2 linked regions of the Anolis sagrei genome follow. The protein of the gene in region 1 binds, or shares a complex with, the protein of each later gene. Links are inferred from orthologs where the notes say so. Each region holds a gene or a part of one and is shown on either strand. Other genes may lie near its edges. The genes, in order: STRIP1 and PDCD10.

Region 1 (7,602 bases):
CAGAGACACAAGACAGCCTTTTAAATATAGAGACGTCAATCTGGATCCAACCTATTACACTGACTGAATTTGCAAAAAGAACAGCATTTAACAAAAATGGAAATCATAATATAATGTACAACGAGTGCCTTTTCCATTTTACAAAGATTTCTGTTTATACTTTCCTTGCACAGGATTCCTTAGAAAAATAAGAGCATCATTCTCCAAATATTTAATTTTTCTGAAATCTCAGTATTCATTACAAAGATTAATGAAATGATTCAAAAGAAAGCAAGATCAGGAACAACTCTAAGCCGGGTTCTATTTTACCTGACAGTTCAGCAGCCCATTTGTCTGTATCGGCATATTCAAATTCAAAGTCTGGCGATTCTGAGAAGCCCTACAAAATAAATTAAATTTGAGATAAGGCAACGTAAATTAAAAAAAAAATCCTGTTGACTAAGGCAGGTTCAGTATTAAACATTGCTTAACTTTCCACCCACAGCTTCATAGTTACCATGGTAACCTGTTCATCCTGAAAGGATTGCATAAATCTTCCCCTCCCTCAAGCCTGCTCTGCTACATTACGCAAGTGTCAATCTCCAGTCATCCTGAAAGTCATTGGGCGCATCTACACTGTAGATTTTTTACAGTCTGATGCCACTTTATCTGCCATTGACTCTATGCTTTGGAGTTATGGGACTTGTAGTTTGGTGAGGTACTAGCCCTCTTCAGCAGAGAAGGCTAAATACCTTATAAACTACAACTCCCATGATTCCATAGCACTGAGTCACAGCAGTTAAAGCAGTGATTTCCACCCTGTGGTCTATGGATCACCAGTGGTGCGTAATAACTAAAATATGGTCCGCAGACTCAGTTGCTACACCGTTGCAACGAGAGCGACTGGTCGTGCAAAACCCTCTTATAGTACAGAGGCTTATTAAATATGGTTTTCTGTGGGCAAGCAGATGGCGACTACTGGATGGCATATGTTCTGTATCAGAAACTAGAGCTGATGTGGTCTATCCAATGCAATTTTCTGAATCAGCACCCCAAATAACCAAACAGAATCTAAAATGGACCAAAAACTGCTTCGTAACCCTTTTGGTACTAATGTTGGAGAGTGGTCCCTGGTCAAGAAAAGGTTGGGAACTACTGAGTTAAAGTGTTGTTGAATTGTATTAATTGTACAGTGCACATGTACCCTTAGACTATCTACCTGGAAGTAAGGTACAACCAAGTTCAATGGGACTTCAGAAAGGTCTCTGCTCCCAAGTATGATGAGAATGGAAGCAAAAGCTCCCATGAAGGCAGCCAGTGGAGGGATTTTCAGTTTGAGAGGTAAACAGTTCAATCACTTTCTCCCCTCTCTCTTTATTCATCTATCTATATACATACACATAGTGTGTGTCCCCAAAATGTATGTCTTAACAGCATGTAATTCTGGCATGTTTGTAATAAAAAGAATATATACCTATAACAAGATTTCACATGTAGAGAAGTGTCATGACACTACAAGAGAATGTTTGAGTGGTTTGTAGCTCTGTGCTTCAACAATGCCAGCAGTGGGTGCATGGCTGGACAGACAAATTGCAATTTAAGAAGGAATTTGTAACTCTGATTACATCACTATTAGAAAAGTTCTTCTTCAATATAAATGCATTTACCTGTGTGTGTGTATGCGCCTTAAAATGGTCAATTGACTTATGGAGATACCATTAATTTTGCAAACTTTCTTAGATTAGGGAAAGTCAATGGTGGGTTTGCCAGTTTCTTCTTCTGAAGCATAGTCTTCAGCACCTGCTATTCCTTGGTGGTCTCCCACCCAAGTACACTATAGAATGAATGCAGTTTGATTCCACTCTGTGCTACAGCATCATGGGAGCTGTAGTTTGACAAAGTCTTTAGCCTTCTCTCCAAAGAGTGCCGGCACCTCACCAAACTATAAATTCTATAACCCATACCATTGAGCCAGGGCAGTTGAAGTGGTGTCAAACTGTATGAATTCTACAGTGTAGATGCACCCATTGATAGTTTTCCATGCCAAGATTTAAAAACAAATGCTAAATCAAAAAGAATGGATGTAGGCACCATCATCTCTTCAAACAAGGTCAACAGTTCATGTATGGCTGAACAAATAGCTGCTAGCTGAGTACACTAAGCAATATGATTTTTGTCCTTGGGTTTCAATGTCATTTCCTAATTGGTTCTATCATAAAAACATTGAAAAGGTTTATTAAACTGCAAAAATTTTCTTCTTCTGGAGAGGAAAAGCAAAATATAAACAAACACCATAATATCCCTTCTCTCCAAAGAACAACTGAACTCTTACCTTTGCTCATTAGCATATAGAGAGGAGGAAGATTAGATGATGATCTACCGCTACTATACCTCTGACTGAAAACTCTTATGGTATGTGGACTTTGTAATAATAATAATAATAATAATAATAATAATAATTTGTTTTTGCGGGACATCCTGCAGCACGTTTTGCTATAGTTTTCCAATGAATATCTCATGGGGCCTCAGTCAATTCAACATAGTTTGTGGCAGCCACAAAAACGAAGTTTCTGGAGGATAACAACTACTTTCAAAGTAAGGAGTGCACAAGTAAACAGGACATAACACTTTCAAACCAGGAACAGAAAACAATTCAAATGTTGTTACATAGTGGTATCAAAACGTGCCACTTCATTCCTCTGAAGAAATATTGCCTTCCCACCTGGTACTTTTTGGCGGCCTCCCACCCAAGTGCGAACCAGGACTGACCCTGCTTAGCTTTCCCAGATCAGCCAGGATGTGGTACCATTGAGGCGTTATCACCACAGCTCCTATTGGCTGACAATGGGCCTGTGCCTGGAACACACAAGGCCTGCCTGGCAGGTGAGCTGAGGAGCCTGCCTCTTCCCCCGCGCCAGCCAGCCAGCCAACCCCCCTGGCCCCCTCTCCCACCGACCTCCGAGTCCTTCCGCTGGTTGCGGTTGGGTTCCCGGCCCTTTCCCCCGGGCCCCGTCGGCGGCGTGGCCAGCCCCAGCGCCCCGCTCCGTTGCTTGTTGTTGACAATGAGCAAGCCGCCCGGACCCCCGACACCGCCCGGCTCCATCACGACGACGACGACGACGTCGCGCCGACAGCTCTCGCGAGACTTGGCAGAGCAACAAGCTTGCCGGAAACGCCGCCATCTTGAGAGTGGCGGATAGACTTAGACGGCGGCTCCCCGCGCAGGAGCCATGTTTGGAGTGGCTAGGCCAGGTATGGCCACACTTGGGGCCTCCAGGTGTTTTGGACTTCAACTCCCACCATTCCTAACAGCCTCAGGCCCTTTCCTTTCCCCCCTCAGCCGCTGAGGGGGGAAAGGGCCTGAGGCTGTTAGGAATGGTGGGAGTTGAAGTCCAAAACACCTGGAGGCCCCAAGTGTGGCCATGCCTGATTTATATTCACTGGGTGATCTTGGGTAAGCCACACTTTCTCAGCCTCTGAGGAAGGCAAAGGCTTCTTCTGAACAAACCTTGTTTTAAAAAACACCCCCAGTCATAAGTCATAGGGTTGCATTGGTTAGAAACAAACCACCTGAAGGCTCCCAACAACTGTTGACCTTTCTCCCCTTTTATGCCTTTATGTGTGTGGCAAAGTGAGGAGTGGCAAGAGACAAAATCACAAGGTCAGACCCAGAGACAGGAATCGTCGGGATCTGTTAAGTTGGAAATTTTCTTTTAAAAATGCAATTTCCTCTCTTCTAACCAAGATGATTGACCTTTAGAATAATGGAACAGTAGCGCAGCGGGTTAAACCACTGAGCCGCTGAACTTGCTGACCGAAAAGTCGGAGGTTTGAATCCGAACGAGGTGAGCTCCCGCTGTTAGCCCCAGCTTTTGCCAACCTAGCAGTTCAAAAACATGCAAATATGGGTAGATCAATAGGTACCACTTCAGCAGGAAGGTAAGGGCTTTCCATGCAGACATGCCAGCCACATGACCTTGGAGGCGTCTACTGATAATGGCAGCTCTTCAGCTTAGAAATGGAGATTAGCACCACCGCCAAAGTTGGGCACAACTGTCAAGGGGAAACCTTTACCTTTAACCGTTATTATGAGTATCATGATATGAGCCCACAAATTGAGGTTCCACCAGTATTCATCTGATTTGATGCTCTTTTCCTTCATCTTCAATGACAGATCATGGCAGGGTTCGTTGACTTATTTGATCTCTAGATTCTTTCGGAAGGTTTCTGTTCATGGCTTCTTTCCATTCTTATGCTAAATCTCAAATTGAGTTAGCACCTCACATGCTATCCTGTAATACCTATTACACAGCCCAATTAAAATATATTGACATCTTGGTTTTTAAGACTGTTTCTGGGATTATTTGGGGGTATTGATTTAGATAATTGCATTAGAAAGTTTCTTGCATGTAGTTATGATTTTCTATGGGAAAGCAGATGGTAACTGGTAGGTGGCATATGTTCTGTATGTAAAAAAATAGAGTTGTAAGGGGGGAAAACTGGTGCCATTTTTGGAATCAGCAGGTCAAACATACCCAGAAACAGACAGGTCTTACATATAAGGCACCAAAAGGTGTGTTGGCCAGTATTATTGACATCTTTATTTCTTCTTATTTTGTTTCTAAAACTGAACAGAAGTGTAGGTTATGACTCTTAAGCTGCTTATGAGCTTGATGCTCAAAGGACTGTCTCTTCCTGGTTATACCCACCTGGATCCTACATTTAGAGGCTTTTGTTCAGATACCTCCACAAGATGAGAAAACTGGGTGCTTTTTAGTAGTGTCCTAGTTACATAATGCCTTCTTTAAAGCAATACACTTGGCACCTAATTCGACTGCTCTTTCGGTACCAACAAGAGCTTTTAAATCTTGGTGCACCATCTTTTACCTTTCTTTCACTCTTTGTATTATCTGCACTTGATCATCGTCCATCGATTTTCATGCTGCATTGCAATTTCAGTAGCATGCATTTTACTACTGTTGATTTTATCCCATGTATTTAATCCTTTAAGTCACCCTGAGAGCTTCCTATCATAGGACAGCCTTTTAAATGGATAAATGAAAATGGAAGTCCCTTTAATGTTTCAAATGAAAGATTAGCAAAAGCAGGCTCACTTTCAGCTGGGGAAGCATGACTTGTGCATGACCCCATTGCGTATTCATTTAGGAAAGCTAAGTCTAAGCACAATTTTGCATCCTATATTTAAAACGTCCCTATTAAGAAAAGGATTCCTATTAAGAAAATACATTTTAAAGAGTATTGAAGCAATGCCCTGTCAATTACTTCCCCAGTTCAATATTAATAATTTTAACTAGTTTTATTCAGTTTTATTTAGCCAGTAACATGCCTTGTAGTAAAAAGATAACTGTAATCAGAAGTCCCTTTTTAAAATGTCCATTAGTAATGATGGTGGAAGAATGAGTCCAGGACTTTTCATCACTTCTTTATGGTCAATATCTGTTTTTTCCCCAATCTCAAAGTATTTTTCTTCTTGGAATAGCAAATCTGTATTATGTTGTTCAATATGATGGGTATCCATCAGTGTACTCAATTAATATATACTTTCTTACTCTGCCTGGAGAAAGGTACATGGCTCTCCAAGGGAATAATATAAAAACTGAGATCTAACACTGAAACTGGCAGGTAGCTTGTCTCCTCTCCAGTACCTTTGAAACTGCTACTTCTGGCTATTCATCCAGAAGGGGAAAAAATCAAAGCAAAGGTAATTTTCTAACCATTTTATTTAGACTTTGCGTAATGATTTATTGCTCATCTGCAAGAATTAATATTGCATTCATTAAAAATCATTCATATACAAAATAAACCTATCCCCACCTGGGTTGATGCTATAACATGCTCCCTCCAACCAAACTGAGGTGTTGCCAGGCATGAGAGTTTATTCCATGGCTTATACAGAGATGGAGCCCTTAGCTAAGTCATCTATTGACACTGCAACACAGAGGCAGACAAATGGAATAAAGGTATCCTCCTGAACATCACGGAGGAGTTTTGGAGATTCACTCACATTGGCTTAGAGCAGTGGCTCTCAACTTGTGAGTCCCCAGGTTTTTGGCCTACAGAAATCCCAGCCAGTTTACCAGCTGTTAAGATTTCTGGAAGTTGAAGGCCAAAACATCTGGGGACCCACAGGTTGAGAACCACTGGCTTAGAGGGACCCAAGCCAATTCTAGGATCAAAATGTGTGATAAGAGAATCAAGAAACAAGAGGAGGACTGCGATACAAAAAGGAAAGAACTGATTCTATTAGGGCTGGCTGAACCTAAAATCGGATTCTGGGGAATGGGATGGCTGCAAGTTGAAAAGGCCGAGGGAGATCCTGAATTCAAGTCTGTCATTAGCCAGCACCATTTTGCAAGGCCAGTTGAAACCAAACACTCATCTGGTACAAAAGATACTACAGGACAGTCATTTAGGGGCAGAGAGTAAGCATGGCGGTTGTGCTAAGGTTTGGTGGCTCAGGCTCCTCATCACAGGCAATTTATTTTTCTCAGTGAAGGATAACACCTACATAAGAATAGTGGGACAGATTTCATGAAGATGGAATTAGGAATGTCATCTTCTGTATTTACATCATGTCTTCTGCAAAGATTACATGAAAAGGCAGAAAGTTCAAGGTTGGTCATGTATTCACGATGATTCACAGTAGTTTCTGGCTTGTTCTTACTGCCCCTCAAGACTTCAGCACATATTTGCAATAATCAGACTCAGGCAATATTTGCCTGAACTGCCATTTTTAACTTAATACCCCCCCCCCCCCATCCATGCGGAAGCCTCCCCTCATTTTCATGGCACTAAAATATGGACTGTATGTTAACTTAACATGCCAGCCTAACAGAACTGAGATCATTAAAACAGCAGAGCATTTAAAACGGCAGTGCCAATGAAGTGGGATTCCGCCTTCAAAATTCATTTGCTACAAATGAAGCCTGAAGATGGAAGAAAATGTTTTACATAAATGACTAATTCTTTATGGGATCAGAGAATTTAAGCTACTATTATCATCCAAGCACCTCCTGTATTGTGCAAATGAAGGAATAAAGTACAAGAGATGGTTCAGCTCAAATATGCTGATCTGCTTCATAGTGGGCCTTAGGAATTCAGCAACTGAAATTATCGGTTTTAAATTTTCTCCAAGCTAGATGCAAAAGGAATTCTCATCCACTGCATTTTAAATAAGGTATTGGGCTGTCTTGATTGGAAGAAGAGGAAGAAGAGGAAAGCCTAAAATCCATGGAGTGATGGGAAGAGAGGGCAGGTTATAAATAAAGTGTTATTTTTATTGTTATAAATAAAGTATTATTAAAGTGGATAGGCAATATCCATTTCAATTCATATTAGCACCCTAGCAACTCATAAGAGAAGATGAAATCTATCTAGCCTTATTTCAGAGTGGGAAATCATGAGGAACTCCAAATGTTCTTGGACTAAACATTCCAGTAGGTCTAGCCAGAGGTGAGGAATTCTGGGAATTTCAGTGTAACAACATTTGGAGAGCTGCATGATTATCACTTTGGCTTAGTGAAGCCAAGCATACAGCAACGTGTTTCATTAGGAAAATGGATCATAAATAATATTTGAGATTGCCCCACTGAATGCAATACT
Region 2 (8,007 bases), on another chromosome or scaffold:
CAACCTTAGTCCAAGTGGGCCATACTCAGGGTTGGCCCAATACATTTTGTGGCCTGAGAAAGAATAGCAAACAATGGTCAATGTCACCGAAGTCAATGAAACCAAAACTCTGAAGCCTGCCTAATTATTTCAGCAAATGAGGCGGAACGCCACCACTCCCCATCCCTGGAAGCAAAAGCACAGTAATGAAGTACAGTCAGTCTCTCTGTATCCATGAGTTCAACATCAGGGATTCAACTATTTCCAAAGACAAATCTTGATTTCACCATTATATATAAGGAACAGCATTTTATATAAGGAACCTACAATTTTTGGTATCCGCAGGGAGTCCTAGAACCAAAACCTGGCAGATTCCAAGGGCCCACTATAAGCAACAAAGAATTTGTTGGCAATCCAAGTCTACTGTTTAAGACTGGCACCTTATTTTTCCTCAAATACAGCTGGCTCTGGCCAGACTTTCTCTATCAACACCAAGAAAACAAAACCCTCACTTCTACTACCTCTTCCTCCTGCCATCCCCATTATTTTTTTTCCACCTTATAAAAAACCCCCCCAAACTCCTTGGTTAATTTATGCTTAGGCACATTTAAACTGCAGAATTAATGCAGTTTGGAATCCCTTTGACTGCCATGGTTCTATGATATGGAATCATGGGAGTTGTAATTTGGTCAGGCATCAGTATATTTTACTAGGGAAGGATAAAGACCTTGTAGGCAATCCCTCGTGGCTGCATATGATCATCTTCCAGAGGTAGATTCTTGATGGTGGGTCTGTGACTGTGGGCCCATCCAGACAGGTTCTATATCCCGGGATCTCATCTCAGATTATCTGGCAACAGGGACTCATATAATCTAGTTTAAAGCAGAAAACTCGGGATCAGTTCCTGGGATATAGGGCCTGTCTGGAAGGGCCCTGTGAAGACCTATGCTAGATCCGCATGGCGTTTCGCAATGAGGACATCAATTTCAAGATGGAAGGCAGTCACAACAAAGGGTGCGACTTCCTCTTGGCTTGTTACACCCTGCACTCCAGCCTCTTCAAAATCCATTGCACCGTTTGTAAATGTTGACTTCCTGTTACAATGCTGGGGTGGCAGGGCTTCCCAGTTCTCTGTGTTTATACCACATTTTTTTAAAGTTAGCTTTGAGACCGGCTTTTAAATCATACCACAACTCCTGTGATTCCATAGCAATGGGCTGCAGCACTGCATTTGTTCCCAAACTCTGGTCTTCTGGGCAAACTTCAGCCCTCCAGATGTTTTAGACTTCAACTCCCACAATTTCTAACAGCCTACTGGCTGTTAGGAATTGTAGGAGTTGAAGTCCAAAACACCTGGATGGAGGGCTGAAGTTTGCCCATGCCTGGTGTAGATGCACTCCTCAATGTAACGCACCTACCAATTTCTTCTTTATTGCCATTGTTGTTGTTGTGTAAGTTCAATAACAATAACCAATACCATTTTGACCTGTCTCTCCTCCAAAACATCACGTCTGCATAAGAATCAAAATGTGTTTATACCACATTTTTTAAAGTTAGCTTTGAGACCGTCTTTTGAATCATACCACAGCTCCTGTGATTCCATAGCAATGGGCTGCGGCAATTAAAGTGCTGCAAAACTGCATTTGTTCCCAAACTTTGGTCTTCTGGGTAAACTTCGGCCCTCCAGATGTTTTGGACTTTAACTCCCACAATTCCTGCTGTTAGGAATTGTGGGAGTTGAAGTCCAAAACACCTGGATGGAGGGCTGAAGCTTGCCCATGCCTGCTCCGCAATATAATGCACCTACCAATTTCTTATTTATGGCCATTGTTGTTGTGTGCCTTCAAGAACAACAATCAATACCATTTTTACCTGTCTCTCCTCATCTTAAGAATAATTCACGGCGGCTGCTGTGGTTTTCAACTGTGAATGTGTTTGGATGATTTTTAACTGGGAATTTAAAAATACTATTTCAATGTTTGTATCTTTCAAATGGCTATGCCAGGCAAGTGTTTTGGATTTCGATTCCCACAATTCCTAACAGCCTATTGCAGATATGGGCAAACTTCGACCCTCCAGGGGTTTTGGACTTCAACTCCCACAATTCCTAACAGCCACAGGCCCTTTCATTTTTCCCCTCAGCAGCTTAAGCGGCTTAAGCGGCTGCGGGGAAAAATGAAAGGGCCTGTGGCTGTTAGGAATTGTGGGAGTTGAAGTCCAAAACCCCTGGAGGGCTGGAGTCTGCCCATGCCTGGCCTACCGTCTGCTAGGAATTATGGGAGTTGAAGTCCAAAACACCTGGAGGGCTGGAGTTTGCCCATACCTGGCCTACTGGCTGCTAAGAATCATGGGAGTTGAAGTCCAAAACACCTGGAGGGCTGGAGTTTGCCCATGCCTGGCCTACCGGCTGCTAGGAATTATGGGAGTTGAATTCCAAAACACCTGGAGGGAGGGCCAAATTTTGCCCATGCCTGGGTTATGCAAATGCTTTTATGTTTTGCTGCCTTGAGTCCCCTTTGGGGGAGATAAAGTGGGGGTATAAATACATATAATCCTCCCCATGGCTTCAATAGTTCCTTAATTAGGGTGACCCTCAAGGCACCCCATCACAGGGCAAGATTTCTCCAGAGAGGGGGTTGCCCTTGAGGCTGAGAGAGTGTGGCTCGCCCAAGGTCACCCAATGGGTCTCCTGAACCCTGACCTCCAGGCTGAGGCCTAGTCCACCTCCCCGAATTCCCTCTCCTTCCTCCCCGCCACTCGGGCTGGATACCTCAGCAAAGGAGGGCCTCCTCTTTCGGGGACTAGGAAGAACCAACCGCGTTCCCCTCTCTCTCTGTCTCTCTCCTCAGCCAAGCCACTAGGCCCGACGCCTGCCCTCAAGTCGGCTTGCCAGGGGCCAACCCCGTCCTCGAAGCCCCGCAGGCCAGGCCCTGCCAGCGACCCCACTACTACCGAAGGAGAGCGCGCAGCGGCCGCCTCACCTCCCCTCACCCGCCTGCCTGTCCGCCCTTCGAGGCTCCTCTTTCGCCGAGGCCGGAAGTAGCAGCGTCCTCCTTCTCTCCTATGCCACCGCCGTCGTTACCACACACCAGGCGTTGTCCGGAACTAGCCGGCGACCGCGGGGGCCCACGGGGCCTGTAGTCGCGCCTTGAACACTACAACTACCGAGATGCTTTGCGAAGACCGCAAGAGACTCATGAAAGGGGACCAATAGGGAGGAAGGGGGCGTGGCGTTGCCCATATTAGGAGAGAGAGAGATTGGGAAGTAGCGTTCGAAAGGGAGAGGAGGAGGAGCCCAATAGGGAGCAAGTGGCGTGTAGACGAAGAGCGAGACATTAGGAAGCAGCACCCGAAAGGGAGAGGAGGGGGAGCCCAATAGGGAGTAAGGGGCGTGGCGTTGCCCATATTAGGACGAAAGTGGGCGGAGACAGAGACATCTTGAAATAGCATCCGAAAGGAAGAGGAGGGGGAGCCAAGAGGGAGCAAGGGGCGTGGCGTTGCCCATATTAGGAAGAAAGTGGGCGGAGACAGAGAGATTGGAAAGTAGCATCTGAAAAGGAGGGGGGCAATAGGGAGTAAGGGGCGGGGCGTTGCCCATATTAGGAAGAAAGTGGGCGGAGAGAGAGAGAGACATTGCAAAGTAGCATCTGAAAGGGAGAGGAGGGGGAGGACAATAGGGAAAAAGGGGGCGTGGCTTTTGACCATATTAGGAAAAAGTGGGCGGAGAGAAAGAGATTGGGAAGTAGCATCCGAAAGGGAGAGGAGGGGGGCAAGAGGGAGCAAGGGGCGGGGCGTTACCTCTATATTGAAGGCAGAATAGACGAAGTGAGAGACATTGGGAAGTGGCACCCGAAAGGGAGAGGACGGAAAGGCCAATAGGGAGTAAGGGGCGTGGCTTTTGCCCATATTAGGACGAAAGTGGGCGGAGAGACATTGAGAAGTAGAATCCGAAAGGGAGAGGAAGACTAAGCCAATAGGGAGGAAGGGGGCGTGGCTTTTGCCCATATTAGGAACAAAATGGGCGGAGAGAAAGCATCTTAAAGGGAGAGGAGGGGGAGGCCAAAAGGGAGTGAGGGGCGTGGCGTTGCCCATATTTGGAAAAAAAAGGGGCGGAGAGAAAGCGCGAAGAAGCATAAGAAGGGGAGAAGCGATACACCAATCGGGAGAAAGGGGGCGTGGCGTTTTCCATATTAGGCAGAAAGGGGGCGGAGCGAAGGGGAAGTGGGCGGGCCTGCGGAGTAAAACCATTCCCAGCGCAGAGGCGCACCAGAAACAATCCCTGAGGCGGTGCCGGCGAAGGAAGCAGCGGGCTCTGAGTGCGGAGCCACATCTGGAACATCTCTCTCCATCGCTCTTGAAAGCACCTTTGGGGCAGGTAAGCTCTGCTGCCAGTCACCTCTTTGCAAGGCTTGATTGCCTCTCCCCTTTTGTTTATGTCTTTCCTTTGAGAAGAAGAGTGAATATAATTGATCTTTGGCTCCACTGAATAGGAATTTAGTAGTGGATGGTTCATCTTCCCCTTTCTTTTGCTTGGGAACAATAAACTAGTTTACATATTTCCCCCAAAATGCAATTATTATTATTATTTTGGGCAGATCTTCCAGTAGCATAACTTGAACCCACTGAATAAGATCAGGATAGTGGTTGTTTCCCACTCCTCTTTATTTTGATTAGAAAAATATAGACAAGTTTTCATTCTTTCCTCTAATTATACTAATTATTAAAAATTTCATAAATTATTTATTATTAATTGACAGACACAAAATGCAGTATGTCACAGCAAACGAGGTCTATATTATTATTGTTTATTATTATTGTTGTGAGATCTATATTATTATTGTTATATTATCAGGATATATTAACAATATATTATCAATATATCAATATATTAACAATATACCGCAATGAGTCGCCCTTGGGGCTGAGAATTGCTGTATATAAGCGCAGTAAATAATAATAATAATAATAATAATAATATTGTTATATTGTTATATTATTATTGTTATATTATCAGGAGCCCCCGGTGGCGCAGTAGGTTAAACCCCTGTGCCGGCAGGACTGAAGACCGACAGGTTGCAGGTTCGAATCCGGGGAGAGGCGGATGAGCTCCCTCTTTCAGCTCCAGCTCCTCATGCGGGGACATGAGAGAAGCCTCCCACAAGGATGATAAAAACATCAAATCATCCAGGCGTCCCCTGGGCAACGTCCTTGCAGACGGCCAATTCTCTCACACCAGAAGCGACTTGCTCCTGACACAACAAATTTTTTTGTTTATTATTGTTTATTGTTATTATTGTTGTTGTTATTTTTATTATTATTTAATTGGGCAGCTCTCCCCGTATCTTAACTTCACCCTCTCCCAATTTCCTTCCCAAGCATCTTCTCAGCTAAGTGCTGGATCACTTCCCAGAGGCTTTTCTATGTTTTCCCCTGTTGCTAGCAACCTATGAGGATATATTGTTGTCTCTCTTCCTTTCCGCCACTGCAAGCTTTAACAGTGATGTTGCAAATTAAATAATTTCTACCTGCAGTCATTTCCCCTCCCTGTATTGAATTTTGTGAAGTAACTGATTATATGGAATAATTATAGCAAATGCTCCTTTTGCTCAAAGATAATGGGCATTTCCCCCTTTGTCATTCTCCGTAAGCCCCGATTTGTGTGTGTTTGCGGTTGAGAGGCACTGTCATTTACCCCTTCAAGAGTTAAAATAATGCTACGAAATGTCATTTGAGGTATATATCTATATCTTGGTAAAGTCAGTATATTTTTCATATATATGTATCCTGGTTGTGGGATCAAGCATTTGCAGAGCAGACTGACTTACTGGTTGAATCCCCGATTTGTATGTGTTTGCAGTTGAGAGTCACTGTCATTTACCCTTCAAGAGTTAAAGTAATGCTACGAAATATCGTTTGAGGTATATATCTATATCTAGGTAAAGTCAGTATATTTTTTCATATATATGTATCCTGGTTGTGGGATCAAGCATTCGCAGAGTAGACTGACTTACTGTTTTAATGGAATGTTTCTAGGATGACGACTTAAATTGGCAAACTGTTTTAATGAATTTTTATATCTGTTTTATTATAATATGTGTATATATGCTTGTTTTTACTTTGTTGTTGGCACTGTGCTTTGCCGGTTGGTAGCCACCCTGAGTTCCTCTGCAGAGGTTGAGAAAGGACTACACATGCCTAAATAAATAAATAAATAACACACACACACATCTGTATAAATAAAATTGTAATGTTCGTTTATGGGATTAACAGAATTCAAAAACCACTGGACAAATTGACATCAAATTTGGACACAAGACACTTAACAACCCAATGTATGTCCTTCACTCAAAAAAATTGATTTTGTCATATGGGAGTTGTAGTTGCTGCGATTTATAGTTCACCTACAATCAAAGAGCATTCTGAACCCCAACCAACGATGGAATTGAACCAAACTTGGCACACAGTTCTCCCATGACCAACAGAAAACTCTGGAAGGGTTTGGTGGGCAGTGTCCTTTGGTTTTGGAGTTGTAGTTCACCTACATCCAGAGATCACTGTGGACACAAACAATGATGGATCTGGACCAAACTCTACACAAATACTCAATGTGCCCAAATGTGAACACTGGTGGAGTTTGGGGAAAATAGAATCTTGACATTTGGGAGTTGTAGTTGCTGGGATTTATAGTTCTACAATCACAGAGCATTCTGAAGCCCACCAACGATAGAATTGGGCCAAACCTCCCCCACAGAACCCCCATGTGGGCCACAGCAACGTGTGGCAGGGAACGGCTAGTATCTATCTATCTGTCTGTGTGTGTGTGTCTGTGTAGATAGATAGATAGATAGATAGATAGAGTTGGTTCAGAATTGGGCAGTATCAGTATTTATCCCTAGCTCATCCTATAGTGTTGCGTCTCCCACATTACTGGTTCTTGTAAAGATGAGTACCGTATTTGACATCTATCTCTTCAAAAGTTTTATATAGAATGTCGGTCCATTGAGATGGCCATTAGGCTTTGCAATTGGTCTCTTTCATCTCTGTTGGTACAGATGGAAATCTTTATAATGAGCAATTTTGTCACTGACTTCGAATGAGGTTGTCACTTAGTGTTTCCAGATGCTTTTAAAGAAAAGAAAGAAGGCTGTACGCAGTAGAAAAGAGATATTGAAATAATATAGGGAAGAATGTTTATATACAGGTTTTCCATGCGATTTCTACATTTGGTTTCACATTGTTGTTCAGGCTACATCTCATGAAATGGATTGTGTAGCCTATGGAAACTTGTGCCAAATAAAACCAACTAGTCTTTAAAATTCCACAATATTTTTTTTTGTTCTCTTGCTGCAATGTAGCCTCCTCCCTCAATTTTTTTACTAAGGATGTGAGTCTACACTTCTTTATTGGGAGTGGAAGGGCATCTACACTGTAGAACAAATACAGTTTGATGCCACTTTAACTGCCACCGTTCAATGCTAGGGGATCATGAGTTTGTTAGGAGCCCCCAGTGGCTCAATGGATTAAACCCTTCTGCCAGCAGGACTAAAGACTGACAGGTCGGAGGTTCAAATCCAGGTAGAGCTCCCTCTGTCAGCTTCATGATGATGATGATGATTATTATCTCTTATTATTTCTTAGCATTGAGCCATGGCTTTTAAAGTGGTGTCAAACGGCATTCATTCATTCTATGTTTCATTGAACTCTGTGGGACTTAAATTTGTGTAAATGTGCCCAGGGAAGAGGCTAGCTGTGAAGATCCTTGACCAGGCCCGTAGCCAGGATTTCGTTTCGGGGGGGGGGCTAAAAAATTTTTGGGGGGGTTTCGGGGGGGGCTGAGTTTTGGGGGGGGGGGGGGCTGAGTCTGAGTGAAAGAGGGTCTAGCCTAGCAAACCTTTTGTATTATTACCCCAATACCCCCATGCATATGGGATATATTGAGCATGGTGATCAGATAATGATATGAATAAACATAACAGTTTAAATAATGCACCAGTAAGGCCTTTTCGCGAACCACCATGAGAATTTCGG

Evidence for each region.
Region 2: STRIP1 (region 1) and PDCD10 share a complex: the UniProt entries of both Homo sapiens proteins name them as parts of the core of STRIPAK complex. The link is inferred for Anolis sagrei from reciprocal best matches to the Homo sapiens genes STRIP1 and PDCD10.

Annotation. Positions count from the first base shown.
Region 1 is NC_090024.1:183,921,205-183,928,806, forward strand, and holds the start of STRIP1 (striatin-interacting protein 1), read right to left. Parts: upstream 3,116-7,602; 5' UTR 3,083-3,115; coding exon 2,936-3,082; intron 380-2,935; coding exon 310-379; intron 1-309. UniProt on the Homo sapiens protein: Plays a role in the regulation of cell morphology and cytoskeletal organization. Required in the cortical actin filament dynamics and cell shape. Part of the striatin-interacting phosphatase and kinase (STRIPAK) complexes.
Region 2 is NC_090023.1:250,379,105-250,387,111, forward strand, and holds the start of PDCD10 (programmed cell death protein 10), read right to left. Parts: upstream 3,141-8,007; 5' UTR 2,971-3,140; exon of another isoform or gene 2,961-2,970; intron 2,912-2,960; exon of another isoform or gene 2,750-2,911; intron 1-2,749. UniProt on the Homo sapiens protein: Promotes cell proliferation. Modulates apoptotic pathways. Increases mitogen-activated protein kinase activity and STK26 activity. Important for cell migration, and for normal structure and assembly of the Golgi complex.